2 linked regions of the Lepisosteus oculatus genome follow. The protein of the gene in region 2 purifies or fractionates together with the protein of the main gene of each other region. This does not show direct contact. Links are inferred from orthologs where the notes say so. Each region holds a gene or a part of one and is shown on either strand. Other genes may lie near its edges.

What was found.
Region 1: the proteins of uqcc1 (region 2) and uqcc2 purify together in Homo sapiens (co-immunoprecipitation; 3 studies listed by BioGRID and IntAct, counting the BioPlex papers as one, with this or other methods). This does not show direct contact. The link is inferred for Lepisosteus oculatus from reciprocal best matches to the Homo sapiens genes UQCC1 and UQCC2.

Annotation. Positions count from the first base shown.
Region 1 is NC_090700.1:40,731,265-40,746,485, reverse strand, and holds uqcc2 (ubiquinol-cytochrome-c reductase complex assembly factor 2), read right to left. Parts: upstream 6,406-15,221; 5' UTR 6,346-6,405; coding exon 6,208-6,345; intron 5,481-6,207; coding exon 5,406-5,480; intron 5,185-5,405; coding exon 5,115-5,184; intron 4,109-5,114; coding exon 4,011-4,108; 3' UTR 3,915-4,010; downstream 1-3,914. Other genes in the region: tspo (translocator protein), read left to right, coding at 1,585-1,723, 2,591-2,761; inositol hexakisphosphate kinase 3, read right to left, coding at 7,894-8,301, 8,489-8,664, 9,872-10,047, 10,496-10,685.
Region 2 is NC_090711.1:173,475-188,601, forward strand, and holds the start of uqcc1 (ubiquinol-cytochrome c reductase complex assembly factor 1), read right to left. Parts: upstream 7,606-15,127; 5' UTR 7,461-7,605; coding exon 7,386-7,460; intron 6,132-7,385; coding exon 6,024-6,131; intron 5,850-6,023; coding exon 5,742-5,849; intron 4,666-5,741; coding exon 4,593-4,665; intron 4,101-4,592; coding exon 4,043-4,100; intron 2,017-4,042; coding exon 1,908-2,016; intron 1-1,907. UniProt on the Homo sapiens protein: Required for the assembly of the ubiquinol-cytochrome c reductase complex (mitochondrial respiratory chain complex III or cytochrome b-c1 complex). Involved in cytochrome b translation and/or stability.

The sequences.
Region 1 (15,221 bases), on a different chromosome or scaffold from region 2:
TGTGGACAGGGGCGAGGGGAGAGGACTGCAGTGTGGACAGGGGCGAGGGGTGAGTACTGCAGTGTGGACAGGGGCGTGGGGAGAGTACTGCAGTGTGGACAGGGGTGTGGGGAGAGTACTGCAGTGTGGACAGGGGCGAGGGGAGAGGACTGCAGTGTGGACAGGGGCGAGGGGAGAGGACTGCAGTGTGGACAGGGGCGAGGGGAGAGGACTGCAGTGTGGACAGGGGCGAGGGGAGAGGACTGCAGTGTGGACAGGGGCGAGGGGTGAGTACTGCAGTGTGGACAGGGGCGTGGGGAGAGTACTGCAGTGTGGACAGGGGCGTGGGGAGAGTACTGCAGTGTGGACAGGGGTGTGGGGTGAGGACTGCAGTGTGGACAGGGGCGAGGGGAGAGGACTGCAGTGTGGACAGGGGCGAGGGGAGAGGACTGCAGTGTGGACAGGGGCGAGGGGAGAGGACTGCAGTGTGGACAGGGGCGAGGGGAGAGGACTGCAGTGTGGACAGGGGTGTGGGGTGAGTACTGCAGTGTGGACAGGGGCGAGGGGAGAGGACTGCAGTGTGGACAGGGGCGAGGGGAGAGGACTGCAGTGTGGACAGGGGCGAGGGGAGAGTACTGCAGTGTGGACAGGGGCGAGGGGAGAGGACTGCAGTGTGGACAGGGGCGAGGGGAGAGGACTGCAGTGTGGACAGGGGCGAGGGGAGAGGACTGCAGTGTGGACAGGGGCGAGGGGAGAGGACTGCAGTGTGGACAGGGGCGAGGGGAGAGGACTGCAGTGTGGACAGGGGTGTGGGGTGAGTACTGCAGTGTGGACAGGGGCGAGGGGAGAGGACTGCAGTGTGGACAGGGGCGAGGGGAGAGTACTGCAGTGTGGACAGGGGCGAGGGGAGAGGACTGCAGTGTGGACAGGGGCGAGGGGTGAGTACTGCAGTGTGGACAGGGGCGAGGGGTGAGTACTGCAGTGTGGACAGGGGCGTGGGGAGAGTACTGCAGTGTGGACAGGGGTGTGGGGAGAGGACTGCAGTGTGGACAGGGGTGTGGGGTGAGTACTGCAGTGTGGACAGGGGCGAGGGGAGAGGACTGCAGTGTGGACAGGGGTGTGGGGAGAGGACTGCAGTGTGGACAGGGGTGTGGGGTGAGTACTGCAGTGTGGACAGGGGCGAGGGGAGAGGACTGCAGTGTGGACAGGGGCGAGGGGAGAGGACTGCAGTGTGGACAGGGGCGAGGGGAGAGGACTGCAGTGTGGACAGGGTTGAAGGTGAGTACTGCAGTGTGGACAGGGGCGAGGGGAGAGTACTGCAGTGTGGACTCCTGCACAGGGGCGTGGAGTGAGTACTGCAGTGTGGACAGGGTTGAGGGTGAGTACTGCGGGGGTGTGGACTGCATAAGGGCGCGGGGGGGAGTACTGCGGGGGTGCCTCAGCAGAGAGGTGCCTGGTGCAGGAGTTCAGAATCGGCCCACAGCTGGCTTTCCACTCTGAGCAACTCTTTTTTTCAAAAGATGGTACCAAGATCGACCTCTTCATGTAACAACATCTGTTTCTGTCTTCCCCCCGTATTCCTCTCCACTCCCCTCCCTCTCCCAGGTACGGCTCTTACCTGGTGTGGCGAGACCTGGGCGGCTTCACTGAAGATGCTCTGGTTCCGCTCGGCCTGTATGGGGCACAGCTCGCATTGAACTGGGCCTGGACGCCCATCTTCTTCGGGGCACACAAACTGAAGCTGGTACGGTATGGCTTCCACTAACAGTGACCATAGCAGTGCAGCTCCATACCGTGACTCTTGTGCCTCGCTCGTCTTGAGTGTGTTTTCTGCATTACATAGAAAAAACTGAAAACTGCAGGTCGTGCTGAATCGGCGTGTGTGATTCTATGAAGAAGGCAAGCACCGATCGTGTTCCTCTCTGTCTCAGTCTTCCCCTGATCTCCTCCTCTATCACTTCCTCTTTTTGTCTGTCTGTTTCCTGTAGTGTCAGCCCTCGGATAAATTAACCAGTGGGGAAAGGGGAGTCCGTTATTGAAGAATGTCCATTAAAACAGGAATGACGTTTTTTTCAGCCCCAGAACACACTATAAGTTAAAAATATATATATACACTGTATACTGGATATACTTTCAAGATTTATTGATTTATTCTTTAGCATAGCATCAACAAAGTCATGGACAATTATTCCTGTGCCTTTTTTCTCATAAAGATACAAGCTCGTTATTTCATGAAATTGAACATTTCGTAAATATTCTGTATAAAATTCACTAAAGCATATGAAACCCAAACAACACCCTTTGTAGGTTAATCGTCAACCCCTAAAGGGCACCATTGATATTCCTGAATTTGAAATCTATGTAGTATTTATTTTACCTCCTTTTCCCACAGCTTTTTTTTTTTGCATACTGTTAGTATGTTAGTGTATTTGTGTGTTTTAAAAACAACTATTATGAGCAGTTTGCCAATCCCCCTGTCTCAGGCAGGGTTAGTTCCGCGATAATGCCGATGTTTCCGAGCCCTGCCTCTTCTCCGCTGCGCCCCTGCTCCGAGTGGCCGAGCAGAGGGGCGCTGTGTCAGCGGCCGCTGTGCCATGTGTCTCCCCTGCAGGCCCTGATCGAGGTCGTGCTGCTGACGGGCACGGCAGGCGCCACCGCGCTGTCCTGGTACCCCGTCAACAAGACGGCAGCGTTGCTCATGGTGCCCTACCTCATGTGGCTCTGCCTGGCCACCGGCCTCACTTACTGCATCTGGAGGGACAACCCCGACAAGCAGGACTGAAAAAGGGGTGTCCGAGCCCCTCCCTGCACAATGGAGGAGGCTTCTGGGAAGTGCCTGCGTCACCTGTGCCAGGGCTGCACAGCGGCAACAGAGGGTCGTCTTCTCCCTCTCTCATTTTGTATGTACTTTTGGAGTTAATAAAATAGTTTGAGATTAATGTATGTCTTGTCAGTATTTCTGTCCTTGATGTGTTGTTTTAACTGTCTGAGCTTTTGTCAGGAACTGTGTGCTCTCACATGGTTTAAACCTCTCGCCCATATCCCGCGGTGCTCGCTCAGCGGTGGTGGTCTTCAGCCGAACGGCCGCAGGGGCAGAGGGAGTTGCCTCCTGGGAGCGTTTCCACAAGCTCCAGTCCAGGCTTTCATTCCAGCTGGGTTTACCTGATGCGTGTGGCATGTGACACAGCAGGGCGTGGAGATTGTGGCTGGAAAGAAAGTCTGGACGGAGGCTGGCCCGGAGCCGAGACCCAGTGCTCTTGAGTGGGGGCAGTTGAACTTGTCTCTTCCACCTCGCTCCAGCGTCTTTGGCCCAGCTGACCCACAGCAGGGTCCGTGAGGTCATTGAGAGTCAATCAAACCTGCAGCCCTGGTCCTGGAAAGTCCTGTGAGCTTTATTCCACCAAGCTCAGTTCCTCACAGTTGACCCAGTGGAAGACGTGAAGCTCCGTTTGCAGACTTTAATCTGGGGGTGACTTCACGCTCGAAAAGCCAGAGAGGTCAGGACCTGACTGAACCACGCTGACCCAGCCTCCTGCGTGATCTCACGAGTGACAGGCGTGTCGACACTGTGGGCGAGTGTAGAGGGTAAGTGGGGTGCCTGGCTGTGCCTGTTAGCTCTTGGAGGAAGGGCAGGGTGCAGTCGGGGCTCTTATCAGCCTGCCTCAGAGAGGGAGGGGCTGTTGCCATTTACTGCTCCTTATCAGACAGCACAGAGCAGTGCTGGAGCTCCAGCAGGGGTCCAGATATTGATAAGTGAAGGGTGTCAGGCTCCAGCAGGACCACAGAGCGTCCAATTTAGTTTAAAATACCTGGTCTAATTCACAGGACAAACTTAATCCAAACTCCATCCAAGGTCAAAGGCATTCTGCTACTATGCTGCAAGTACACACATCAAACACTGATTCTTAAGTGTAGGGCAAAGAAACTAGTGATACTTTATTTAAATGTGATGTTTAATTTTTAAAAAATGGCATTACAGTATACACTCATCCGCACGCTACAGTATGTACAGGAGCTGTGTGAGGTCGGGGTTACTCCTTTGCACCCTCTTCTGGCGACTTGGAGGAAAAGCGCGCCATTAATTTCTTCCACATCCCTTTCTTCGCATCTTCCATTTGCTGCAAACTGTCTGCAGAGAGAGGACAGACCTGTCAGCCCCAAATCAGGATTCCTCAGACGAACTGAGGATGCGAGAACAGCGCTCTCTGGCTGGAGGCTCTGTGACTAATCTTTCCCATGTTTTTTTAAAAGGGGTCTGAGTAAGTCACCTTTTACAAGATAATAATAATAATAATTGCTTACACTTATATAGCGCTTTTCTGGACACTCCACTCAGAGCACTTTACAGGTAATGGGGACTGCCCTCCACCACCACCAGTGTGCAGCCCCACCCGGATGATGCGACGGCACCCATAGTGCGCCAGAACGCTCACCACACACCAGCTATCAGTGGGGAGGAGAGCAGAGTAATGGAGGCAATTCATAGATGGGGATTGTTAGGAGGCCATGATAAGGACCAATGGGAAATTTGTCCAGGACACCAGAGTTAAGTTAAACCCCTACTCTTTTAGAGAAACACCCTGGGATTTTTAATGACCACAGAGTCAGGACCTTGGTTTTACATCTCATCCGAAGGACGGCGCCTGTTTACAGTATAGTGTCCCCGTTACTATACTGGGGCATTAGGACCTACATGGACCACAGGGTGAGCGCCCCCTGCTGGCCCCACTAACACCTCTTCCAGCAGCAACCTTAGTTTTTCCCAGGAGGTCTCCCATCCAGGTACTGACCAGGCTCACACCTGCTTAGCTTCAGTGGGCTGCCAGTTGTGAGTTGCAGAGTGATATGGCTGCTGGCAAAGATGACTGTGTGAAGAAATTACTCCCGTTTTTGAATTCTGTACCTTGGTTTTTGTTCTAAAATGTAAATAAAACACTGATGCGTGTAGTACATCTGTACTACAAACAACAGTAGTAGTAGTACATCTGTAAAGAAACAATTGTAACCAACCACAATTCTCCCAAAACACTAAAAAAGTGTTTAGTGTTCGACGTAGGGCCTGTCTTGTACAAGCGCTGAGACTCGGTTTATCAGTGCCGCAGGGCTAGACCAGAGGGGCTCAAGGGCGCGCGTACCTGTTGCCAGAACCATCCTGCACTCCTCCACCGTCACGCCCGTGAAGCTCGTGTCCTGCGCCCGAGGGAACTGCGCGACCAGGCAGCGCCGGTTACCAGGTAAACCGGAAACCGGAGATATAAAAAAGACATGTAAGATATCATATAGTTTTTTTTTAAAGGTAAGGTTTTACTTCTCTATAATTTATCGAGTACTGAAGTGGAGAATGGGTTCAATATTTGTCATTTTATTTATATTTAAAAAATGTTTAAATTCTCTAAACAACGTTCAGGAAACTATAAGCTACTTACCTTCTGTTTATAAAAATTAGTATTGATACGAGCTAAACTCTCGTACATCTGATCACACTTCTCTGCATCTGCGATCTGAAAGTAAGAAATACAGCATAGTTAATTCAATTACTGTGAAATTTAAAATCTATAACAAAAACCTGAATTTAAACTATCGGATATTATTGTTTCTTCTTTTTGAACGTCAGTAATGTCACAGACCATGAGTAATACCCATCCTATACATTTACTTGATGTAAATTTAATTGAACAAGTCTACGAACGCTGACGAATCTGCAGATATGAACGAGAAACTAGTTACGACATGACGAATCTGCTGCGGAGAGAAATGAGATACACAACTGATTTGTAGGTTTGTGTTTGTAAAGGTCGACCATTGAATCTCATTTGAATTCCGTTTCAAGTGCACTTCACACCAAAGCCTCCAAATGCTTTAACGAAAACCCGGCGAATCATTTACAGTTTTCAGTATAGTATACTTCACGGACTAAGAAATCTCACACTTTAACAGTTTAGCCTGTATAAACAAATAGCATGCGTTTGAAGTTAGGGTTAAAAGAAGTCGCGGTAAACACTAAAACCGTAGTGAAATGGAGACCGCCGTCATATGTGGTCTTGCTGTTTAGGTCTGTGTACAAAGGTTCGGACACTCTTCACCACGTAATAATCCTACAATATCAAGCAAGCAGAAACACCCCTCTTGCTGAAACGCTTTAACGGCACGATTGACACCCTCCTCTCCCCCCGCTTCACTGTTCGCATGACGCCGCTGGAGCCTCGGTCACTTCCCCTGCCCGCTCACCTGAGTGCTTTCCCCCTCCCGGAAGGCCAGGGCCACCTTCTGCCGCAGAAAGGTGCCCAGGTCCCGGCCCTTCTTGGTCTCGTCTCTCGGCCACTCTTCACACAGCCGGAGGAAGCGGCGGTACCGAGTAGCCGACATGTTCGCTGTCACGGACACGCGCGGCCGGGGGAGGGAGCTGTTTGGTAACAGCGAGCTTATGAAACACTGGAACAAGTAATAGGTTTATTCCATGCTGAAAAAAAGAAGAAAGAAAACGTTTCGGCCGTAGAGCCTTATGAAACACTGGCTCTTTACGTGTCAAGAGAGCTGTGGTCCGCGGGGGGCTTTAAGATTATTTTATGCTGATTTCACGTTATTCTTTAAATAAAAAAATAAAAACATTGTTTTACACAGACATCTAGCTTTCCGCAGAGTTGCGGAAAGTAGTTTGAAAACCCCTGGTCTTCAAGGGCTCGAATCATTGGCGGTTTTAGTAGGAAACCTTATTTACCGGTGAACGAGTGTTCCGTATGTGAACAGTGACAGCTGCTAAACAGTGTGTGTTCAGTAGTTGGGTGAGATAAACCGCCATCATCAAAAAGATGTTAGCTATCAAAAATATTCAAAGGAATGCCAAAGATGAGATGTCACTGTCTTTGTCTTTGAGGGTCACTCTCTGTCCACTCACCTCTGACCTGTATCGTATTTTGATCTGTCTGCCTCAGGTTCTGAGTGGGGCTTTGTGCCCAGTACTGCCAGAGCTAATGAGGAGTAAGGAGACAGGGTCTTGGGTCTGCAATCAGACAGAGGGCACACTGGTTCCCAGTAAGTCCTCGAATGGTGTTTTGGTACCTGCACTGGTTTCCAGCACCACTTGATCTGGTCCGTCCTGTTTTTCAAACCCTGGACCTCTGGCAGGAGGAAAGACCCTGACTCTCCGGTGCCACAAAACACGCACCTACACATGAGAGCAGAACACCCCCTCCCCCCACTTTAATACTCACTGTGCTGACAATTCTAACACTGGAAACATATTACACTTTGGTTACAGACGCGTTACAGAGTCTTCATGTACAGCAATACAAATTGAAAAGGAAAAGCCTAACTAAGAAGCTAAGTTTTGTTTTATACTTCAATGATGCAGGTGGCTCAGTAATGGTTAGAGATGCTGCCTCATGGCTGTTGGGTCCCGAGTTTGATTCAGGACTTGGAAAGATTGTGTGGAGTTTGCATGTTTCCCTGTGTCCACGTGGCCTTTCTCAGTGTGCTCCAGTTTCCTTCCACCCTTCAAAGCCATGCTGGCTGGTTAATTTGTTCCTCAAAATTCACAATGTGTGTGTGAATATCTTATAACTCACAGCCATTAGTATGAGTAAGTAACGGGGACCCATCTCTCTGCAGTGTGAGTTGCTGGTTTTTAAGGCACCTGTGTACAAATCACTGAAGTCGTGCATGATACAGCGATCAGGTATCTTGGAAGCTTCAGCTCCAGAACTGATGTCAGTTTACTCTATTTTTGAGCTTTTGGCATCTCCCTGTGGCCCCCTTCTCTCCCTGATCTTTTTAACTTGCAGTAAATGAACAACAGACCAACAAGTTCCTCCAAATGGAGTGTATGAGCCAGTCAGAGTCTTTGTCTACAGTCTTTATACATCATCCAGCCCTGGCGAGGTCAGTCTTCAGAAAGCTGCCCGCCAGTGGGAGTCGTCATTCTCCATCGCGGATCTCCTTCAGGATACCAATGAGGTTGTCCAGGCCGAAGATGTAGCCCTGGTCTGGGCCGTCGTAGGCAGGGGTGTGGGGGTGGTGGGCGCCGCGGAAGGTGGTGTGGGCGAAATCGATCATACGGACGTCCACACTGGGGGAGGCGGAGGGGCTCTCCACACCCTCGTAGATGAGCAGCAGGGAGCTGGAGTAGAAGCGGTAGGAGCCCTGGCGCTGGAGGACAGCGCGCAGCTGGCCGAGTCGCTGCAGAATCGGGCCGATCAGCTCACGACGCACCCATCGCCCATTGTGCAGGAACTGGCACAGCGCCTGCCGCAGACCCGCCCCCGACAGCGTCCGGCCGTAGTACTTGTTCCGGCACAGGAAGTGGTCAGAGGTCACCTGGAACACCTGTGGGGAAGAGCTGCTGAGGGTCAGCAGAGTCGTGGATTGGAGCAGAGAGGAGGAACGTGGCAGGGGAGAGGGGAGAGGGGAGAGGAGAGAGGAGGGAGGAACCGAAAGGGCTGGAGAGGCGGGACCAGACAGACAGACAGACAGACAGACAGACAGAAGGGCAGGGCAGGCTGCTGTGCCTTACTTGCATGCCCCCCAGCCGCAGGCCGAGTGAGGAGGAGGTGCTCTGCTCACACTTCTTCATGTGTCTCCTCTTCTTCTCCTCGGGTGCATCGTCGCCGTGCTGCCGTGTGCCCATCTTCAGGTCCAGCACGCAGGGACGCATGAATGGCCACACCACGTTCTCCAGCAGCACGAACCCTGAGCGCAGCGTCAAGGAGAGAACGCCTGCAGGCCTGGGAGATTGCGATCAGGGTGGATCTCTGAATTTAATGACTCACTGCTGACCTTGTGCTGTTGTGCTGTTTTTCGCAACCAGTTTCCCTTTGTGTTTATTATCTGCCACAGACCCTCTGTGTGTCACTGAACCTGGATTCTGTTGTAGTTTGTTTCTTTTGTTGTTAATCATTTTTGCTGAATGGCTGCTACTGTTACAGTTATTCCGTTGATCTGTCTTGTGTGCAAATCAACTAGTTCTCTGCACAAGGGAATTCTGGACAGATTGGCATTTGCTGTGTGTACTGGTTACTGAGGAAACGTGTGGGGTACCCAAATGTGCTGCATTGCAGTCTCCAAACAGTAGAAATTTAAAGAGCCAGCTGGTGCATCTTTCAGGAATTTAATAAAAAAGGTCACTAGCTGTGCTTATGGTTAAAGGGGATTTCTTTTCATTTTGCTTTTAAAGAAATATCAAGCAGTGTTTCTCAACTGGTCAGCATTGCTCCGGGGACTGGTGCCGACCAGGGGTCGAGAAAGATGAATCTAAGGAAGTATTTGTCTCCAAGCTTTATGGGCCCTGGATTCCATCTAGAATTCCTGATTCTGCTGCCTCAGACTCGGACTTGCATGACTGCTCCTGGCAAGTGATGTGAAGAGGCAGGATACTCCTGTCCATGAATGGTAAGACCTGACTTTCCTATTGTGCTCTTGTTTCTTCTGTCTAAAACTGCTGCTGGTTTCTGAGTCTGTCAGCCTGAAAGGCAGCAGTGTTTGGTCTTTGTTCTGGTTTGACATAATAATAATAATAATAATAATAATAATAATAATTCCTTACACTTGTGATGCGCTTTTCTGGACACTCCACTCCATGAGCAGTGGACAGAGTGAGCGGCAGTTCAGTGCCCTGTGTTGTGTTTCTTGCAGTTTGTCCTTGCTCACGATACTCCATGTTGCTCAGGACACATGTCGGAATGATTCTGCAGGAGGCCTGGATGCTTACAGACCTCCAGGAATAGACTTCCTGAGCTGAAATTGGCTGACAGCTAGTCCAAGCAGTGGGGCTTGAGGGATTGATGACCACAAGGGGCTGCTGTTTCCCTTTGAGTGATAATCAGTTCTTGCAAAACAGAAGCATAGGGAAAGTGAAAGGGAGACGATTTAACAAGAACACAAGAGTCGTAAAAGATACAGTGCAGCACGTTGGAGGCGCCCTGAGAGGACATGCGGGAGAGCTGCGCACGGTGGCAGCGCAGGCCCCAGGGGTTGTGGCTGTTCTGCTCTGAGAGCTTGCTCTCATTCCCATTGGGGTCCTCCATGTGGAAAGGCACGTCAGAGCCGAGCCCCCTCCCAGTGCAGCCCAGAGTCCTGGGAGGAGAAAAGGGCACAGTCACCAGCTTTACCCCACCCAGTGGTTCCTGGATATAATTTACTTGTGAACTAAATTAAGTGGTTCCTGGACATCTTTTGTGCTCTAGAATTTTATGGAAATTTGACTCAGCTGTTTACATTCTTTTAAGCAGTTATTACTGCTATGAACTGGGCCTAATGGGACTGGAGTGCTGATGTGTTTGTGAGACATGAAGGACCAGAGATTCCCCCAGCTGAAAAAACTGCAGGGTTGTATTTCACGGTGACTTTGTTAGTGTTGGATTATCACAAAAGAAAACAATGAGTGAGAGCACTTGATTGAGCTCTTCTGATCTGGTCGTGTTCAGTTTGTGTTATAGTCAGAATAAGATCCTGTTCTGTTAGCTCTGCTGGTGTACTGTACCTTAGCTGTGCACCTCTGTCATTTTCCTCTTCTGTAGCTCACCTGTCATGGTGGGATCTGTCCTGCAGGGGGCTCTCTCTGATTTCCTGGTGATCAGGACTGCTGGCCTTGGTTTTCTTGTTCCTGTGGGCCTTGGGAGATGGCGGAGCTGGGCTCTGGTTGTCCTTATGGGGAGAGGCCACCAGTACCAGTTGCCCACTGCTGTCTCTCTCCAGGCTCACTGAGATCAACCCTATGGGGAGCGGAGGGTCAGGGAGTTTGACTTGGCTTAACTCTAAGTACCACCACCCTCACCCCATAGCCCAAGCATCCTGTGAACAGAGCAGCTTCTGCTGTTACTCATATTCCTCCTGTAAAATCTATTTTTGTGGTTTATTGGCTCTGTACTGCACTAATGCCAATGCACCCCTGTCACTCCTCTTATAATGTGCACCAGTGAAGGGCTAGTGTGTGTTTTAATGCAAGTCAAATTTCACATCACATATTATCATATTCTTGCATTCTTTATTAGCCCTATACAATTTCTTGCATTAGGAATGCATCTTTTCGCATATCACGATATCCTATAGGCTAAGAGTGGTTTCTTATTCAGTAAAAGGGAATTTTTATTTTTTATAAATCCTGTGTTTTTAGATTGTATCCTTGTCACAAAGTAGTTAGTGAAAGCCTTGTAGTGCTGCCTGCTTGAATCTTCTCACGTGAAGCCAAGAAAGTAACCTAGAAAAAACAAATAAATCAGTGGAGTTTGAGCACAAAGAGACTTGGAGAGAGGATCATAGGGGCAGACCCAGTGGCCGCTGCCTGTGGGTGTTGGCACTGGTAAGGAGAAACACATCGCATAACAGGACTGGAAACACAAGGTAACGTCATTTCCTGAATCAATGGATTATCAATCCTAATCCTGCTGCTTTGGCTGTTAAATTCATACAAGTGAAAATGTGCATTACATAAACTGCTCTTAGTAGGATTCTGTAACTGCTTGATTTTGACAGCTCCCCACACTCCGCCCCCTCACCTTGTGTACCCAGTAACCCTTTGTCCTGGCCCCGTCCCAGAACCCTAGAAGCAGCACTGCTGTTTCTGCTGAGGCAGGGGTGTCTTTCCCTGTACAGGTTATTTTGGTTTTATTGCTGTGTTCACTTGCCCTCCCAGGCTGAAACAGCCCCGCTGAGGTGCTCCCCCTAAATGTCTTGTCTACAGCTGGGTGTTCAGGCTGTCATCCCTGTCTGCCCCATGGCCTGGAGCTCTGTAGGTAAGCCCAGAGCCTACTGCAGACCACACGGTCTCCTTCCACTCCCAGTCAAACTGTAGGGAAGAGCATGCATGTGTGCAGAAACCAAAAAGAGAAATTAAAGAGGAGCCGATGTAGACAGAGTTAAATCTGGCAGCTCATCCTTATCTCGGTGAAAAGGAGACTTTGTTGAGATTTTAGGAAGAACTGTCATGACACTGGAGATATTTTCTAAAATATTTTGTTCTCAGATTTTTGCCTGTTATAATAATAATGCAACAAATTTGGCCCAACCAAATAGACCTGTCCTGCTGGCTTTCTCTACCTGTCTTTACCAAGGTGCAGTGGGGCTGGGGTGACTTATGGGGAGACAACTAGCTGGAAACTGTTGAAGCACAGTGTTAGGAATCGAATGGTTAGAATATTCCTCTAATTCAGGCTCCGATGGCAGCAGCCCAGAAACCCAGGGAACAGAATTTCTCTCAGGGTGGGTAAACTGTGCAAAGTGCTCCCACACTTCTGCAACTCCTCAGCAACCACAACCTCTAATAAACACACAAACAGCAATGATGGAAAGCATCCTGTGTGTGTTCACCAGTACAGGGGTACCCCATCTGCACTGCCTCTTCTCAACACGCAGAATACTGTTATTTCCAGTTAACCCTAGATGTTCAAAACAGCACTGCTGGGACAGCAGAGGCTCAGTGGATGAATATGGAAGTTCCTGGCTATGGAGTGAGGGTTTATCTTATCTGTTTGATTGCATTTTGCATGTATTGGGGAAATTTGCTGCTTTGCTATTCTTGGGACCAGGTGTACCCTCTGTTGAGACAGTACACTTGGGCTGTGGTGCAGACAGGATTGTTGCAGTCCATTCCTAGCGTACTGCAGTGTATAGGCTGTCCCGTATGGACTGTGATAGCACTGATCTGTAATATATAGTGGGGCTAAAAAAGTAAACATCGGAGGCAGCATCTCTGTAACTGTCTGTCCAGTTTACTTGATGGGATCATGTGAATGGTTACAGACAGATTCTTCTCAGAGGTGATTCCAAAATTCCACCATCCTCATGTTTCTCAGCTAATGACTTTTAACCCCTAGCCAGAACCAGCCTTCAGCCTCTGGCAGGTGTTAATTATATTATCAATACAAGCTGTGCATGTTGACCTAGAACACTTTAGAATAAAATACTGTTCTTCTTTCCTTTTGCTGTGATAAGCTACTAACAAAAGAATAGTTGTCTGGGTTGTCTGCCTGCAAGGTTATTACCACCTCTGAAACATTTTGATGTTTAGTTTGTTTAGTTGCTTACAGAAAGGGCCAAGTTGTACAGCCTGTTCTCTAGTCTGGACAGGATGTGATCTGTCCAGCTGGTGTGAGTCAGAGGGGTCAGTTTTTACATCCACACCCCCCCCCCTCCCCATCCTGGAGTCAACAGGGTGTTAAATATGAAAGGAGCCCCTCATGAGAGCGGAATGCAGGAGACACTGGACACCAGATCAGATCCTCCTTTCACAGAGCAGTCACGCTAGCTCTGAGGGACCATCTACAAACTCCCCTTTTCTTTTTCAAATGCACAGTACATTTTGTGTGTGTACCCACTTTTCTCTGTGGTGCAGACCTTTCGCAATAATTGTTAGAGCAAGCCAACTATTGTACATGTATCTTATTTGTGTGGCCGTATAGTTATTACATATCATCCTTGGCAAAATAAAATATCTATCACCCAGTGATGACGTACACAAGAGTCTACAGGACCTAAAATCTGAAGTGGCTCAAACTGGAGTCCTGTTTGATAGGCTGTTTCATGTAGTATTGTGCTACAGCCTACAGTCTGTCTCTGCAATTCCTGTAATGGGTGCCAGGGTGTTGCTGTAGCTGTGGGAGGTGACTACAGATATGCAGACTGACTTCTGACCTAACAGAGTTGCGAACCTCCCAACTTGCATTACTCAGGGTCTGGGCCCAACACTGCACATTAATGGGGCCTACAGCTACAGTTTAACAGGGAGTGCAGTGGTCCTCACTGTTAACCACAGGAGGGATTGTGACTGATATTTCTGGACTGGGTCTTAGAGCTTAAGGGCAATTTTCTTTGATATCGGTGTATATTTCTTTAAGTAAGATAAAGTTTAAAATGCAAATTCTAATAATGTCGAGAGACAAACTTTGTTATTGTTTTATCCTTAGATTGTCCTAGATTGTCCTGTATTAGTGCTGGAACAGCAGCCTGAGCTTCCCTGTGCCCTGAGGCAAGAGCAGTTTGCACTGGCCTGCGTTTCAACAGGGCTCCAAACCACTATCTGATCCCTTCAGCCTCAACAGCCCCTAAAATACCTAGCGCTTCACGCCTCAGACTGCATTCCTGATGAATATTTTTGGGGAAACCTGAACCCTGACCCTATTTTTCATACGTGCTCAGAGGGGCGTCCCTGGCTGGGGTGCTGTGCTGGGCGGGACGTATGATCCAGGTTCAGACAGCTATAGAGCAGACTTTCTAGTACAGCCTGCACTGATGGGGCAGAAAGACAAATGTTTTTATGTTTTTTTAACAGTTTTACTATGGTAAAAGTGTAGTAGGCAGCAGTGAAATGAGGTAAAACACTACCAAGGAGGCTCTGGTCCTTGAGAGGAGAGGATACAATCGAAAAGCAGAATTCTGGACCATCTATCCTGGTTCCCAGACATTGTAGGCATCCTGCCTGCTCTCCAGCATCAGAGAATTCATTTCACAGGTTGCATTTATCATTTTAAATAGAGAATTATGTGGAATAATGTGGTTGGGTAGTTTAAGTGAAACCACTGCCTTAAAGTTTGCCACAGCTTGTCAGCCTTTTATTTGGCTCCACTTCAGAAAGTTTGTACATACTAGGTCAGCCGCAGTCCAATGAACAGTCTTCTTTGATAATGTCCCATTGAAGTGATTTAGTCTTGTCAGACTGGTTTCTGTTCCACCTTTCTTTTTCTGTTTAAAATGCAGGATCTGCACTTGGTTTTCTGATGTTGGGGCCCCAATCTGGAATGGTCAGATACCAGCAAATCCCCGGGCTAAGGCTCATGGGAACCATCATGCAGCGCTACTGTCTGCTGAAGAACTGCCAAGGCCTCTGCTGTACCATTTACTGTAGGTCTGTGGATGTCCAGTCAAGCTCAGAGGCAACTGATTTACAGCACACCTCCGCACCATTTTCTCTTCTACCCCCCACACGCAGCACCAGGGGGATAAGGTTTGCTGGTGTGACAGCCTGGATTTGAGCTGCTGTTCCTCAGGCTACAGGACCCTCTACCTGTATGCCATGCCATGAAGAAGTCTGTACTGGATTGGCTGAAGTGGTCTCTGGCTGTTATTGCTCCAAATAGGGTTACAGGGTGATGCATTATCCTGGAGGCACATGGCAGCGTTTTGCCGATGACAGGTCACAGATTCTCTGTTAATTCCATCATGTGCGGCAGCTGGACCTCCTGCTGGCTGCGTCATTAATTAATTCATCAGCCACAGGGTGCCCAAGGATAGGAACTGATTTACTCTGCTGTTGA
Region 2 (15,127 bases):
GGAGAGCTGGAAAATGAGGCAAGCTGTGGAGCTCAGCAACCAGCAGGCGCTGCCAAGCCCCTGGCTGTTGTGCGCAGGCTTCACTCCAGCTGGTGGAGGACATCAGCCACAGTGGGCTGCAGGCTCCACTCCTGACGGCAAGAGGACTCTGCACTGAGCAACACTTCCCCCTATTCCAGAAGGAGCTTCTCACTGTCTTTTTGAGATAATGTCTTCGGATACAGTGCAGGCAGGAGGCAGAGTGGATAGCAAACATTCAAAAGTCAGTTTAAGGTGCACATTGTCCTGCTTCCATTGAAGCAATTTTTTGAAAGTCCTGACACCAACATGAGGCCAAGCCGTCAGCAGACCCTAGCTGTGACAGAACACATTTAGCGGGAAAGCTCTGAACCACATGACAATGCACATCTGCTGCTCCCAGGGTGAGAGAGATTAACATATTCAGGGCTACATTCAGAGCTACATCTGGACTGTGCCATCCTCTCTCCTTTGCCCACAGAGCATTACTCTTAATGCCAGGCTTCAATAAATAAATGAGTAAACATATGAACCAAAAAATCATGGCTTTTTGAATAATTTCTTTTAATTCCAATTTATCGTCCCCAGGAGATCATTGATTTGGCTTTGGCAAATATTACAGCATGGAAAAGAGACAGACAACAGCACAGAAACACTGGTGATTTCACTGCTCAGCTCCTTCTCTCTCCACTCTTTGAAATTGTCATGAATCCAATTAAAATGAAAATCAGAAAATAACTACTGTGTAGCTGCCCATCTCTTCCATACGTATGTATGAGTACTTCAATGCTGTACAGTAATGATTTCAGGCAAAAATCCTTTCAGGTAAAAAAAAGTTATAAGATACTAATAAAGACAAATGCAAGAAATGCAGAAAAGCTGTTCATGATTTTATCACTCACTGTCAGTCAAGTTACAAATATTCTTTTACAATTTTGATATACAGCCTATAATATCCCACCATGTGACATACTCTGGTTAGGTTTTGATTTAGAGGGAGTTGGAAAATAAGCATGATTTTCTCGCTCTCTCGCTCTCTCGCTCTCTCGCTCTCTCGCTCTCTCGCTCTCTCGCTCTCTCGCTCTCTCTGGGGGTAGCAAGTTTGTCAAGTCAATCTGCCGAAACCAGCAACTCTTTCAAGACATATTACAGTTCAATTCTTTCAGAATCTTTTGACAACTTTGCAGCATTATTAAGTATTAGCACAAAACATGGAACACATGGAAACATAACTTTGAGAACTTTACAGTTCTTTGTAGTGCCTTGTCACCTTGGCAGGAGAGCTTGATAAACATGCTTTAGGACCCTTCTTGCCCTATAGATAACTAGCATGAGCACAAAAGACATGCTGAGCAGGCTGGCTTCGGCTTAGAAAGAGCACAACAAAAGAGAAATGGCACGCCTGAGACCCCACACGCACTAAAGAATTCTGAGGCGTTTCTTGGGAAGCTAGGCCCATCATTCCTAATTTTATCCCGAGGCTTGGGTCAGGAAAGGTGACCGGTCCTTGTGAAAATCATGCGGGACCTTGGTGGATATGGAGGGACATTGGAGATGGAGGAGGCTGGAAGATGCATGGCCTGTTTTTACAGCTGTGTCAATGCCACCATCCTCACTAACTCAGTCAGCCCACTAAGGTCCTCACCAAGCTCTCTGTTCATAAAGCAGCCACGTATTGAAAAAAAAAAACTATTCTTTTATGCCCGATGTATTTTCAAGTAATAAACATACCCAGATAAAAATGTACCCAGAAACGTGTATTTTTTAACTGCAGGATCGAAACCTGCTGCTCACAAACATAAGTGCACAATGTGGATACCTAGTTATCTGAGCTCTTGCTGGTCTTCTGTCAGAGTCTCTGTACAAGCCGACCAGGTGCTGCAACTCACCCCCATTATCTTCCCGCGCTGCTCCACATCCTCCCACATGGAGTGCACGATGTAGCGGCACATGTACTTCCCCGCACGGCCCTCCTGTCTCATTCGCACGAGGCACATCCTGCAGGAGGACAGAGCACAGTGGCCTGAGCATCACAGCACTCCACACCGCAAGGGAGCTGCCTTTCCACTGGGATTCACCTCAGGCTGTTGCTGCAGGATATATAAGAGTCAGGAAGCATAGCACACAGCAGGACCAGGTACACGTGTGGTGTGAGCAAGATTCAGCCATCATTTTTCTAAGGGCTACTACGAAAATAATGTATTTTGTGAGCGTAATTCGTAAGATGAAGTCAATACATCATAGTGTGTTCCAATAACCAGATTGTAAGGTTAACAATTAAGCTCTATTTTACAGTTTGCCAGTGAGATTAATATTACTATTAAGGAATAGGGACAGGTTCTGTTCAAGGAGATGATATATGTTGTATATTATGTATTCTAGGGTGCAAGGCTCCCCACCACTGTCATCCAATTAATCAGCTAAAGACAAAGCACTTCATCTGACCGTGGTTTGACACAGTGAAGAAACACGGCAAGCAGGAGAAGACAACAGTTAGTCAGGGAACCTTGTGCTCTTGCTTCTTTCTTGTTCCTCTTTCTCAAACAACTCTCTTCCACAGCGCACCTCAGCAAGCCTGAAGAACAGCACTGTGTTTGACATATTTGTATTATTTAATAAATTATTATCCTGTGTTTTGTTTTTGCAATAAAATCACTGCAAACAATACATTCTTTGAAATTTATTTTCTTTGAAATTAAGCAAATATTAAGTTAAAAGTAAAATGGAACTGTGCTATTCATTCCACTCAATGCAGTTATTGAGATGTAAGTGTACAAATGGGGTTTTCTGCCAGAGCAAAAGGCATTAAGGACCTGCATCTGTTGATGATAGAGAGTTCTAAAAGGGAACCTGTAAGGTGTTTGGCAAGAAAATAGCTATAATTTAAAGGCCTGCTCACAGGGCTGGGCATGACTGGTGCTGTCCTGGAGCCTGAAGTGTCCAAGCCCAGAGCAGAACAGGAGTGCATTGAGGTTTGTCCTGTCTCTGGATCACTCACTGGGAGGTGGGAGAATGTAAATATCACAGCTGGGATTAAAGATTACTACAGCTGTCAGCTAAAATCACTCAAACCTTGCTTTACGTAAATGTGGAACTTTTCCTGTCATGCAAATGAAAAGCAAACTTTCTGCTCTGAAAGCTGTGAAATCCAGTAACAAACCTGTCCCCAGGTGTTTGGACTGAGTTTGTTGGGGAGTGACATACATTCTCAAGAATTAAAAGCAACAGGAAATGTCATGAAAATACAAGAATGTCACTCCAACAGCACTGCGGTTTTAGATTTTTCCAACCTCACTTAATATTTATTTCATCAGTGATGCCAAACTATCTAATAGATCAAACTAATGCCTCAGTTTTAAAACAGTGAAAAATATCCAGACAGGTCACTAAGACAGTAGGAAACTGTTTCAGCATTTGAATCAATGTAGTTAAAAAAAGCTGAAAAAAAACAGACTCACCTCAAAAAATAACTTAAAAACCAAGCTCAGTAAAAATAAAAAGAAAGGTCTATAATTGCAAAGATAAGAAAGTAAAAACTATTACTGTGTTAGCTGTAGTAGTTCAGGTGGGTAGCTGCGTCAGCATGCGTAGGCTGCAAAGGAAGAAGTAATAAGTTTATTCCATGCTTGAAAAAAATGTTCAATTTCAGCATGGAATAAACCTATTACTTTGTTAGTTTGAAACGATATTAACTGCATATTATTGTTTCACTGGTTCTTATTCTGCTATGGATCCTACTTAAAGAATACTATAGCTAATTATTTTAAATACTACCCATCCATTTTCTAAAAGGTCTATATAATACAGGGCTGTGCGAGAGCCAGACGTATTGGGACAAGCAGCAGGCACAAGGCGGGATACACCCTAGACAGGAAAACCGTCCATCGCAGGCATATTTCAAATGCTAATGAAGATTAACAAGAATCACATTAATAAGACCAATGAATCTTGTTTCGAAGGAAACATGTATGAAGCAAATTATGTATAAATGCCACTATAAAATATGTCCGAGCTCTGCACTCACCAGACATGGAGCTGGGCCACAAGAAACCAGGAGTTGAGTGTGTCTGGGAGGGAACACTCTGCACACAGAAAACCAGGGGTCAGTCAACTTCCTCTTCACCTCGGACTCAACACAGGCCACATCCTCTAACACACAACGTACCACTCAGCACTAATACTCTAAGCTTGATGAGATGGAAAGTCACTAATTTATTTATACATCAAAAAGCTGCAGGAGTTAAATGCGTTCAGTCCACCTGTGTACAGGCATGGACTTGCCCTGGTCAAAATGTGTAAACATTTCTGACATGCCTGGACCAGAAGATGCAAGCAGAAGTACTTTCTACAGAGTTCAAGCTACTTTATGTGTCCTGTGAAAACCTCAGTACAGGCTTTCCAACAATCTCAGCAGGATCCCATCTCTCATTTTAATTCACTTTTAGGAGAATACTATTTTTTCACAATTAATCATGCCTTTTATCATGTAAAAGTTGATTCTGTCCTATTTAATAATGACTACATTTTAAAATCATGATGATCACCCACTGATCATAACGTTGGCGAACACTTACTTTCAAAAAAGTCATCATAGTTAATTCTTTCCACACAGCAGGTGTACATGCGCAATGCAGCAATCTTAATTTTCTGTTGAAAAACAATGAAAAAACAAACAAAACTTCAATTTATTACTGTGAGTATTAATCACCAATAGCTGGAACAGATGAGGCCTGGAATGGGCCTCTGAATCTTGAGTAATAAATATGCTGACACACTGCGGTTACTGGATGAAAAGCAGCTTAAGCTTAACCTTCAAGAGAATTTGGTCTTTTTTATGTCACCTTTGCTACACTTTGAGCATTATGAACACATAATTCAAATTCACACGTTATAAAAAGCAGAGGGTTTGGCTTGCACCAACAATGCCATAATGAGGGAGGAATGTGCATCATGGATAAATTACACTCTAAGCCAATGAGCAAATAACTGACTTGGCTGCTCCTCTCTGAGCTCAGCCACAGCTGCTCTGTATAACATTATTTCATGAGCTTGTGCAACTCTGAATCTGTAACTCTACTACCATCTCCTTCTGCACAGCTGTGCGCCTGCTGTTGTGGCTCGAGCTGGGGACACTGCGTATGGAGCGTCGGTCAGAGGGAGGCAACTGGTGCAAGCCGAAAAGGTACAAGGTTTCCACTATAAACTGGCAACTACCAAACCCTCGCAGGACTTCAAGCATTAATGTGAAATTCCAACACATCATGTGTCCCCTTCCACTGTAAATCAATCTCTTGCTACCACACATTTTCCCATCATATCTCTCTATTGACTTGTCTTTTTATATATGAGCCCTTTTAAAAAAAGAGTTGAACCACTGGAGCACAACCTGGCTCACTCACAAAAGATTTTCATAGACGTAGAAGTATGCAGCATGCATCCCCAGAACTGTAAACACTGATTTCCACTGCCAGAGTAAGGCTACAATGCATAATCATGAAGTCTGGAAAGTAGGAAGCAATGAAAAAGGGAACAACTATATATCAGTTGGCATTTGAGTGAAGATCCCTCTTAGCCTACTGATGCGACAGGCTCAGCTCAAGTATGGCTGCTGGCATGTGACTGAAGACAAGACCAGAAGGGCAGGTAAGCATGACCCAGAGGAATGAAAAGGCACACACCTACTGAGTCAGACAGTCTAGCAGAGGGGATGCAAGATCATTTACCCATTTATTATATTTGAGAGGACCAGTGAATCCCATGGCTTCAATAAGTTTGGTGAAAGCTCCCACTTCTTCTTCTGACGCCTGTGGTGTCTGTTTTACTGAGAAGAGCTGTGCGGGGAAAAAAAGTGCATTACAGTGAGTGAAACAACCACAGCACAGCAGCAGTGCAATGCTATAGGACCTTATGACCCACAAATACCACTTGCTGCACTCTCTGGAAATCATGACCTTCTAACATCTTTTCCTGCAGACTGTATCTTACAACATCTTACAATATCGTACCTGTGCAGTGCTGTGAAATGTCCTGCTCTGAGACAGTGGCCAGGAACACAGCTCCATTCTTCTGTGAACTTCAAGGGTTCTGGATAAACAAGCTCCCATCTGCCGAGTCTAAAACATAACGAAAACAATAATAAATGTTTCCCAAAAGTGCAGCAAGTATAATACAGCAGTAGCCCATTTTGTGCAAAACATGTTCAAGAAAACACCTATCTGATTTTAGAGTACTCATCACCAAATGAGTAGTCACTTAAACGTGGTTCGGACTGCTCCCTCAAACACAGAGCACAATGCATGTTGGGTGTTGTAGTTTGTCGGTAAAGTATGTCAGGCATTGTCATGATAACTTGAATTAAATATGAGTACTGCAATACCACATAGGAAAGTGTCATATTAGTAAGAAGCTGCATCAAAGTCGATTACATTAGTAACAATTAATCCACAAGCAAGAATATATACAGCTACTGTAAAATCTACTATCAGTCATGACTGTACCAGAATAAGGAGATCAACACCCATACTCCTCCTCTCCTCAAAATTAATGTGAAACTAATAAGCAACACCAAGCTAACAAGCTGTGATGTCTTCTGAGCTGTTAGCTACTGGCAATGCTGAAGATCTTTCTGAAAGAGGATGGTGATGTGCCATAGTGATTTCCCTTAGCCATCGTAGTGTTCATTCTGCCATGAGCTTGGTCAGGGCAACCAGACATTCCGTATAAGAACCAACACAGAAAGCAGAGGAGGATTTCTTCAGACAATGCGGTGCAAATCAGTCATAATCGTCTACTTGCTGTTACAGAATGACAACACGTGAATCCCTTCTACCACAGTAATGGATACAGCATGCAACTGAGCTTAGATCATTACATTTCTAAACATTAAGCTTCAGAATACAGCACTACGAAAACAACCTATAGAAAGGAGACCAGGGAATCAGCCTTAACAACATAATTAAGCACCTTATTTCAGACTCCCAGAACCTTGTGTTTTAAGAGCGCGTCTTGAATGATATCGGAAATTGCACACGATATTAAACTTCTACTCCTTATTTTGTGATGATTGGAATGCTGTCGGTAGACAATAACCTTGCACGCAAGGATTCGCGAGATACAAATCTTGCCACAAAACTTCACTAACAAACTCGTATTAAATTTAGGGGACTGAACACTACGTCACAAATGGGCTACTTTAGTATCCACAAATTGAGAAATTTCCGTCATTTTAGAGAAAGTTTCATTGTGGAGCCAGCAGGTAAAATGCACGTTATAAGCGCAACCTTCAAAGACAACATATTCAATTAAATATATCCTGTCACAAGGCAAACTCATGGCTGCAAAGTCTTTCCTACAGCTAAGGTATTTACCTTGACAAGCGTCCCGCAGTGTGAAGTAAAAGAGACGCCGCTCCTTACAGCAGATTGCATAACTCGCCGATACATTTTCCTCTATTGAAAAATAATCTTGCCAGATGAAAAAAAAATACTTGAAAGTCGAAATATTATTTTGGATCCAGTCTGCACGTTTTGTAATCCTCCTGTCACCGCCCCTCCTCCTGCAATGTCAAAGGAACCCGTCCTACCGCGATATCCGCCCGGACAGGAATCTGTGTCTATAGCAACGGGTCCGCCTGCAGATTGAGAGCACACGGAGGACTGCAGTAACCTCGTCAAAACAGCATCGTTATGCCAACAAAATTAATATCAGAACGTAAAATGCAATGTTTCAAAATAAATAAATTCTGGATTTTCAAAGTCAATATACAATATAAAACTCAGCAGTGAAACTGCATTACTGTAGACACTAAGCATTAGACTTAATCATTAATCATCCATTTGTTCATTTTTAAGTAGACATCTTTGCATTGCAAACATGAAAGAAACACAGATATTATCCTTTAAACCCAGTGAGGTTATCAATATATTTAGCTTGCAGGGGGCATTGACTCCTCAGCCAAACACGTGCACCAAATGTCTGAGCCTGCAGTTCCTCTTGTACTTAGCAGGATTATCAATATATATAACTGCTTATCAATATCTTAAATATAATTTCACATTTTAATGTTCTGGTTTCCACAGGAAACGGAGTCAGACTCACAGCCCAGAAGGGCGATGCTGATTCTACAGGGCAGCAGAAAGACACTGCTGGCTTAGCTGATACAGTATGTCCCATCTTCTTCGCTGCTGTCTGTCTTTTCCCAGGTGAACAAAAAAGGTAGAAGAAATACGTGCTGGTCATTTGCCACCCAAGGCATCAGAATGAGGTGCCAATGCGAGGGTGCCCAACAGAGCTCACCATGACAGTGCTGTGCAGCACATGACCAGATATCTTGCAAGACAACAGCTGCTGAACCGGCCAGGGAGTGGGCTCATCCTGTACTGGGATTTTCCACCAATTTCAGGGTTAACTACAAGGGATAGCCATTGACTGATTTAGCCCATTCTTGAACAGAGATATAACCTAACCCCAAATTCAAAATGTGGACAAAGTTTCCTTCATTAAAATGTTTCAAGAATATGTTTTGACAATATCCTAGTGAACAAGGACAATTGTTCATTACATATAATGAAAGTGTATTGTGCTACGATAGTTTCCCTGACTATACCAGAGATCTGCTCTGCTGTGATCCAAGTATTGCACAATGCTTTAAAAATCCCAGGACACATGGCGAAGGGGTGCAAAGGGCTGATAACTCCAGTGGTGGTGAAATGTCACTCTGGGCTTGCAAATCTTAATTCAATAAGTGAAGTGTCAAACATGTCCACTTGCTGTGCTGTGCACTGGGGCAGGTGGCCCAGAATGGCTGCCAAGTGTCACCCAGATGCACTTCCCCACTGCAAGAAGGGTCCCCTCCTGGATGTAACGCACCGAGGGACCCTTTGTCCTGAAGGGTGTGGGAAAGAGATACTAATATAATATTCTGTACTTTTTCTGCTTTCACCCTGATTTACCTTTTGCTTTACTATACCAGCAGCCATATCACCCTGCAACTTACAACAGGCAACCCACTGAAGCTAAGCAGGTGTGAGCCTGGTCAGTACCTGGATGGGAGACCTCCTGGGAAAAACTAAGGTTGCTGCTGGAAGAGGTGTTAGTGGGGCCAGCAGGGGGTGCTCACTCTACAGTCCATGTGGGTCCTAATACCCCAGTATAGTGACGGGGACACTATACTGTAAACAGGTGCTGTCCTTTGGATGAGATGTAAATGAGATGTGGTCATTAAAAATCCCAAGGGTGTGTCTCGTAAAGAGTAGGGGTGTAACCCTGGCGTCCTGGCCAAATTTCCCATTGGTCCTTACCAATAATGGCCTCCTAATAATCCCCATCTCTGAACTGGCTTCATTACTCTGCTCTCCTCCCCACTAATAGCTGGTGTGTGGGGAGCGTTCTGGTGAACTATGGCTGCGGTCGCATCATCCAGGTGGAAGATGCACATTGGTGGTGGTGGAGGGGATCCCCATTACCTGTAAAGTGCTTTGAGTGGAGTGTCCAGAAAAGTGCTATATAAGTGTAGGCAATTATTATTATTATTATTATTATACCCTACTGTGCTTTTAGCATCATAATGAGCATTTACAGAAAACACAAAATCATTGACAAAGCAGGCTAAATCAGAATGCTTATTCCTTCCTGTAGCCAGTTGTTTGTATGTTGAGTCTCTATGTCCATTCCCTCCTGGACGGTGGCAGCTGGATTGTATGGGGCCGTGGAACTGGACTCTGCATTCAGCGTGGCCAGAGCTTTGGCCCTCAATAGCTCTCGTCTGTGTGCTGATTACACAGTGGAAATACGTCTGCATGCTTCACCTGGGATTTAAACATAAACTCTCCTGACCACTTCATTATTGACAGGCCTGCTTGGTATGGGGAGTAATTGGAGATTCAGTTTTGTTTGCAAATGGTGAGTGACAGGGCAGGTAACAAAGTACCATGCTACTGAAAAGGTGACGTAGTGCAGAAACCTTCCCTTACTGTCTGACTGAGCAGTTCAGTGTGGAAAATGTGAGAAGTTTAGACAGCACCAACAGGGTACAGTCTTACAGCATGAATATGAGCAAACTCTGTACTTCTATAATGTGGGTTTGAGTGACTTTGTGATTGTAGATTCAAATGGCTTCTCTTTGCTACCTGAGAGCTAGTACCAACCAATATTTCTACTTCTTTCTACTTCGTCAGAAAGTAAGAAAAATTAGTTCAAGATGAAATAATAATTTGAATTTCTATAATTTGTGCCTCACAGATTTCTTTTAAAACTGTACATAGAATTTAAAATTTACACTCCACACCACTGGACTTTTGAAATTCCTTCAGCAGGTCCGGTGGAGTGCTGTGGATTCCCCTTTCTTTCTTGAACACACAGGAATCTCAGAACATAAGAGATCCAAAGAAAGCATATAGTAGGCCAGGAAAGCCCTTGATCTTGGAATGATGGAGAGATGGAGAAAAACCCAGACCTCATCACTAAGCTATGTCTGCCCTGTTGTCCACACTTCATAAGCCTAACTCAACCTATCTGCCTCTCTTTTGGGATGATATGTACTGTAAGTACATACAGGGTACTGACACCCTGTTGTTATTGAGTAAATTCTCTCCTGAAACTTTACTACCTCTTGTTAGGATAAATGAATGCCAAATAAAATCAGGACCATTATATCTTAACAAAAATATTTATTGCACTTATTAAATCATTGAATTACTTTATTTTGTTTTAGTGTCCTGCAACTCTATGCACCAACGCGTCTCCTTTCCTTATGGATTTTCTGTTTTTTTTTAACTGTACCCCTGTGGCCTCTCAACCCAGACTTGGTGCTGGGCCCTAATGGGACCCTGTTCCTGGCTCCATCCTAAGTGGTCCTGGAAACATTTCTGATGCATTGTCACTTGCTGCAAATTAGGCACCTGAAAAAGCAAAGTAGTTAACTGTCTTCACAGATAGGAGGGTGTTAAAAACATGATGTCATGTTTCCATACCCCTCAAAGACCCCCCCCCCCACACACACACACAGCCCCACCCCTGAGGAAGCCAGACCACTACAGCACTTTGATTTAACAGTGTTTATTTTCTCTTTCTCTTAAACTCCTAAATCACTGTATTCCCTACATAATCATTAGACTTTTCTCCTCAGAAATTCTGCAAGCTTACTTCATTTCGTTTTTAGTTACCGTCTGTCTTCATGTTCTCTGCTTTTAAAACAAACACAGTTTCCGTTTCACATGGCTGAGCACAGCAACTTTTAAGGATTGCTTTTGATTCATAAGACGTCTGAATACCTTTGGTTTAATACAATAAGTAAAATAGACGTTATGTTAAATGTTAAAACTCCAAGGTAAGAAAAACAGTTGGAAGATATTTTTCATAAATTTCTTCAGAACTGTCTTTGTCTCTGTGGTGTTCACTTTGTTCACTGTATGGTGTAAAATCATGCTGTTTGACTGCAGTTCTTTCTTTTCATTCACTATAAATTCACCATATATTCACTAAGCTGGTAAACAAGAATACTGCTTCTCTTCTACCAAATCCACACTGTGGATATTATTGGAGGTTCATTCTATCATCCTTTCTTTTCTCTGTTAGAGAGAGAAAAACAATTTATTAAAGCTGCGCACCAGTTTTTTAAAGTTCTTCAAAAGCAAAAAAGATTTATCTTTAAGGACATTAATCAGTATCTTTATTTAGCGTTAAGATATTAAAAGCTTTTCATTTCTACAAGTCCTTGAGGGGGTTCAGCTCTGTGTTCCCACTGAAACACCAACACTGATGAGTTGGTCCCTGTTCCAGATGTGACTTCAGCTGGTCCAACAAAAGCAAAACCTTTACAGCACAAAGACACATACTGTAGATTCTATGTGCTTAGAAAGAAATAATTCTTTTTATCCTGTAAAACTACCAATAATTTGAAATTAGAGAAAAACAGAAAACAAAGCACGAGTTTTGCATCCATGTGAAAGATTATCTATAGCATTAAATAATTATGATTATTTTGTTGTTGTTAAAAGGATTTTCAAAGGTATCAGTCATTCCTGTGCCCCAGCACAGCGCCATGAGTAACCACTGAGTCTGCCTCCTGCTGACTCTCTGGATCTTCTCTGATTGGGCTACTCAAAACCGATGCATGCCTGACTGCAGGGCTGCAGCAGACCTCATGGCTGGCCCATTACTAAATCTGTCATTTTGGTTATGATCATTTGCAAATTCCTGTGTTCAAGGTCCATTAACAATGACACTCACTTCACAAACAACCAACCAGTAAGTGGAACCATTTTTCATTCATATTGTGGTCTGTTTGAGTTTCACCAGCTGCAAAACAGAACTGTTAAAGATCGCTATGCCAAAATGCATGCTAATATGCAAATTAAAAACTAAAAATCTGCACCTGACAACTTGCTGGCAGGGCCCTGGTATGAGATTAATGTTGGATAAGTACCTGATTTCACAGCTCCCAAGCTGTAAAGCAAGCAAAACCACGCATCGCTGCGCCTGCAAATTGTTCAAAGGCATCCAGGCATCAGGCAGTTTCCTACCCCAGCCTCATCCAAAAATCACAAAATATGTAATGTACTTTTGCATGAAAGATTGAGAAAAATAATACATAAACCCTGCAGTATACACACGTAAAAGTACCAAAAACACTTGGGGCTTTGAAATGGGGATGTTTTCACAGAGGGGAGTGGATGAGGTAATGTTTTAATTGTCTGTAAGTTGCTCTTGAAAGGCTGTTTATGGTAGGTTAGAAATTTCCTCCATGGTGTTGATTTTTCAGCTTTCTTATTTTCTGGTTAAATTTTGGGACTGCAGCAGAATTCGTAGTTTAAATCAGATGAACTCCAGTTGGAGACGTCCAGACTCTAGAGTCATGTACTGTACATACTGTACAACACTAGAATTTTAAACTCTTGTTATGATAGATATGCTTAATCTTGCTTTTAACTTTGTAAATCCATTCCTCACACAGTCTAATTAATCTGAATCCATACTTTCATCTGGGTTGAAATGGATTTAAAATGGATTCTGAAACACATGCAAAAAGCATGCGGTATGTACAATTTTCCATTGGCTTCGGGTGGTATAAGCACACGGCACTGCAAATTTGAAGCTCTTTAATGCCACTTGTGCATGGCAAAGATGTGATGGGCGAGATTCTGGTTCATATTTCTGTCATCATTGAGATAATCATTCAGGCGTTCTCTCATACTTAGACCAGCTCCAAGTGAAAGTTTCACTGTAGAGAAAAAGACATGAGCTCACCCTTACTGCTTGGCAGACAGATGCATTGCTCATCTATCACTATTCACCTGTGCTTAAAGCCTGGGGATCTGCAGACATGCCCCTTGAGAAAGAGCCTTCATCTTAGAAACAGGGTTTCTAAGCCTGCTTGGGTGGTGGTTACTGTGTTGAACTGCACCTAGGAGCCTAATGGGATCATAGCCTATCTGAGAAAAAAAACATTTGATGAATAGAAGTCCATAAATGAAAATGTTTCTGTTGATATAAGATTAAAATAATTGCACTAGAACGAAAGTGGACCACACTCCAGGGAAAGTTGTTGCTAGTTTTGCCATTTCTAATTATTTTCTGATTTATTTCCTGTGTGTTCATCATTGTGTTTTGATGTAGTTTTCACTACATACTTACTAAGTTGCTGAAACTCTGTTCTTATTTCTTTACTTGTTTTGACTTGTTCTGAGTTTTGAAAATTAAAATGAATCTGAAATTTAAAAATTAATTTTGTGATTGTAATGCACATTGATGTCAATATAATTGTTGTGTCATTGAAAGCAATAATGCTCATCATTACTCCCAGAATGTAGTTTAATGAAGAGTTTCTGTAATATTCCATTACATATTTTGGCTGTTGCTGGAACTTTAGCGTAACATTTTAAAATATGCATATTTTCCTATGATAAAACTGATCATCATGAGCCTTCTCCTTCATGCTCCTTCAGGTCATTAATGGTTCTTATAAGATCTTGAATGCTGACTCACTGCTGAATAAAGTGGCCAAGGAAAGGGAGTAAGACGATTTTCATTGTAGCTGATCAATGTTATGAAGTCTCAGGACTCCCAGCAACTATTAACAAGGTCAAGTGTCAAACACCGGTGATGGACTGGTTGTAGCCTTGTTGATGCAGTGCCCAAAGCAAAGCCAACTTTGTGTTAATGCCCCATTGTAGCCATGCCAGACAACAGCTCCCAGTCTGCTGAATCCAGCAGTTTATTCTGTTTGTCATAGCTGTCAGAAAATAAAAGGTTTAGAATTGCTCATAGAAGAGGGTGAAGAAAGCTTCTAAAAAGCAAGACAGGAAATGGAAACAAATGAAAGAGGTATACTCAGGAGGTAAAAAGTCACTTCTACAATTCTGTGTTATATTTCAGCAGCACAAAGATTTTGTCTGGAAACAATAAACATTTTAACATTCCAATAGCACTGTCGTTAATCATGCATGTTTGCCCAGCTCTACAGGTGTATCTAATAGCACTCATAAGAAAGTTCAGCAGAGCACGGTCAGTACAGGCAAGGGTTGCAGCAGACTGATTTATAGAGCCTTGTTACTTTCTTGTGGGAGAAGGCAGAGATTGGAAGACAGTTGCAATGCAAACAGGAAAAATATATTTTGTATGAAAAGAAACTCTTACTTGCTCTATCCAATAAACTCAGTCCCTGGCATTTCTGAAAAACCACATCCTTCACATGATTTGATACAATTCTGATGGACAGGTTTTAAAAATCGAGTGCTTGGTGAAAATTCAAAGTTTAGATACAGTTTTAAAAGAAATGTATTGGAACAAAGTAATAATCTACAAAATGACTATCTCAAAAGAAGTTGTAGTGAATCACTAATTCAAGGGTAACATAACATAACTTGATATGTAAAGAAAAGGTAAAAGTCCAAATATTTTTCCACCTCTAGAATAATAGAAATAATAATGAAACTCAACTGATCAAAAAGCACAATACTGTACAGAAACTGAAGTATTTTTTATTGCAATAAGATTTAATTCTTCAAAATGAAAAAAGAGAAAAAACTTAGCCAGATTAAATGCTTTACTCAGGAAACTAACAACCCACATCCTTTCCCTTGAGTGAAACATGCTATCGCTTTTCACTTGG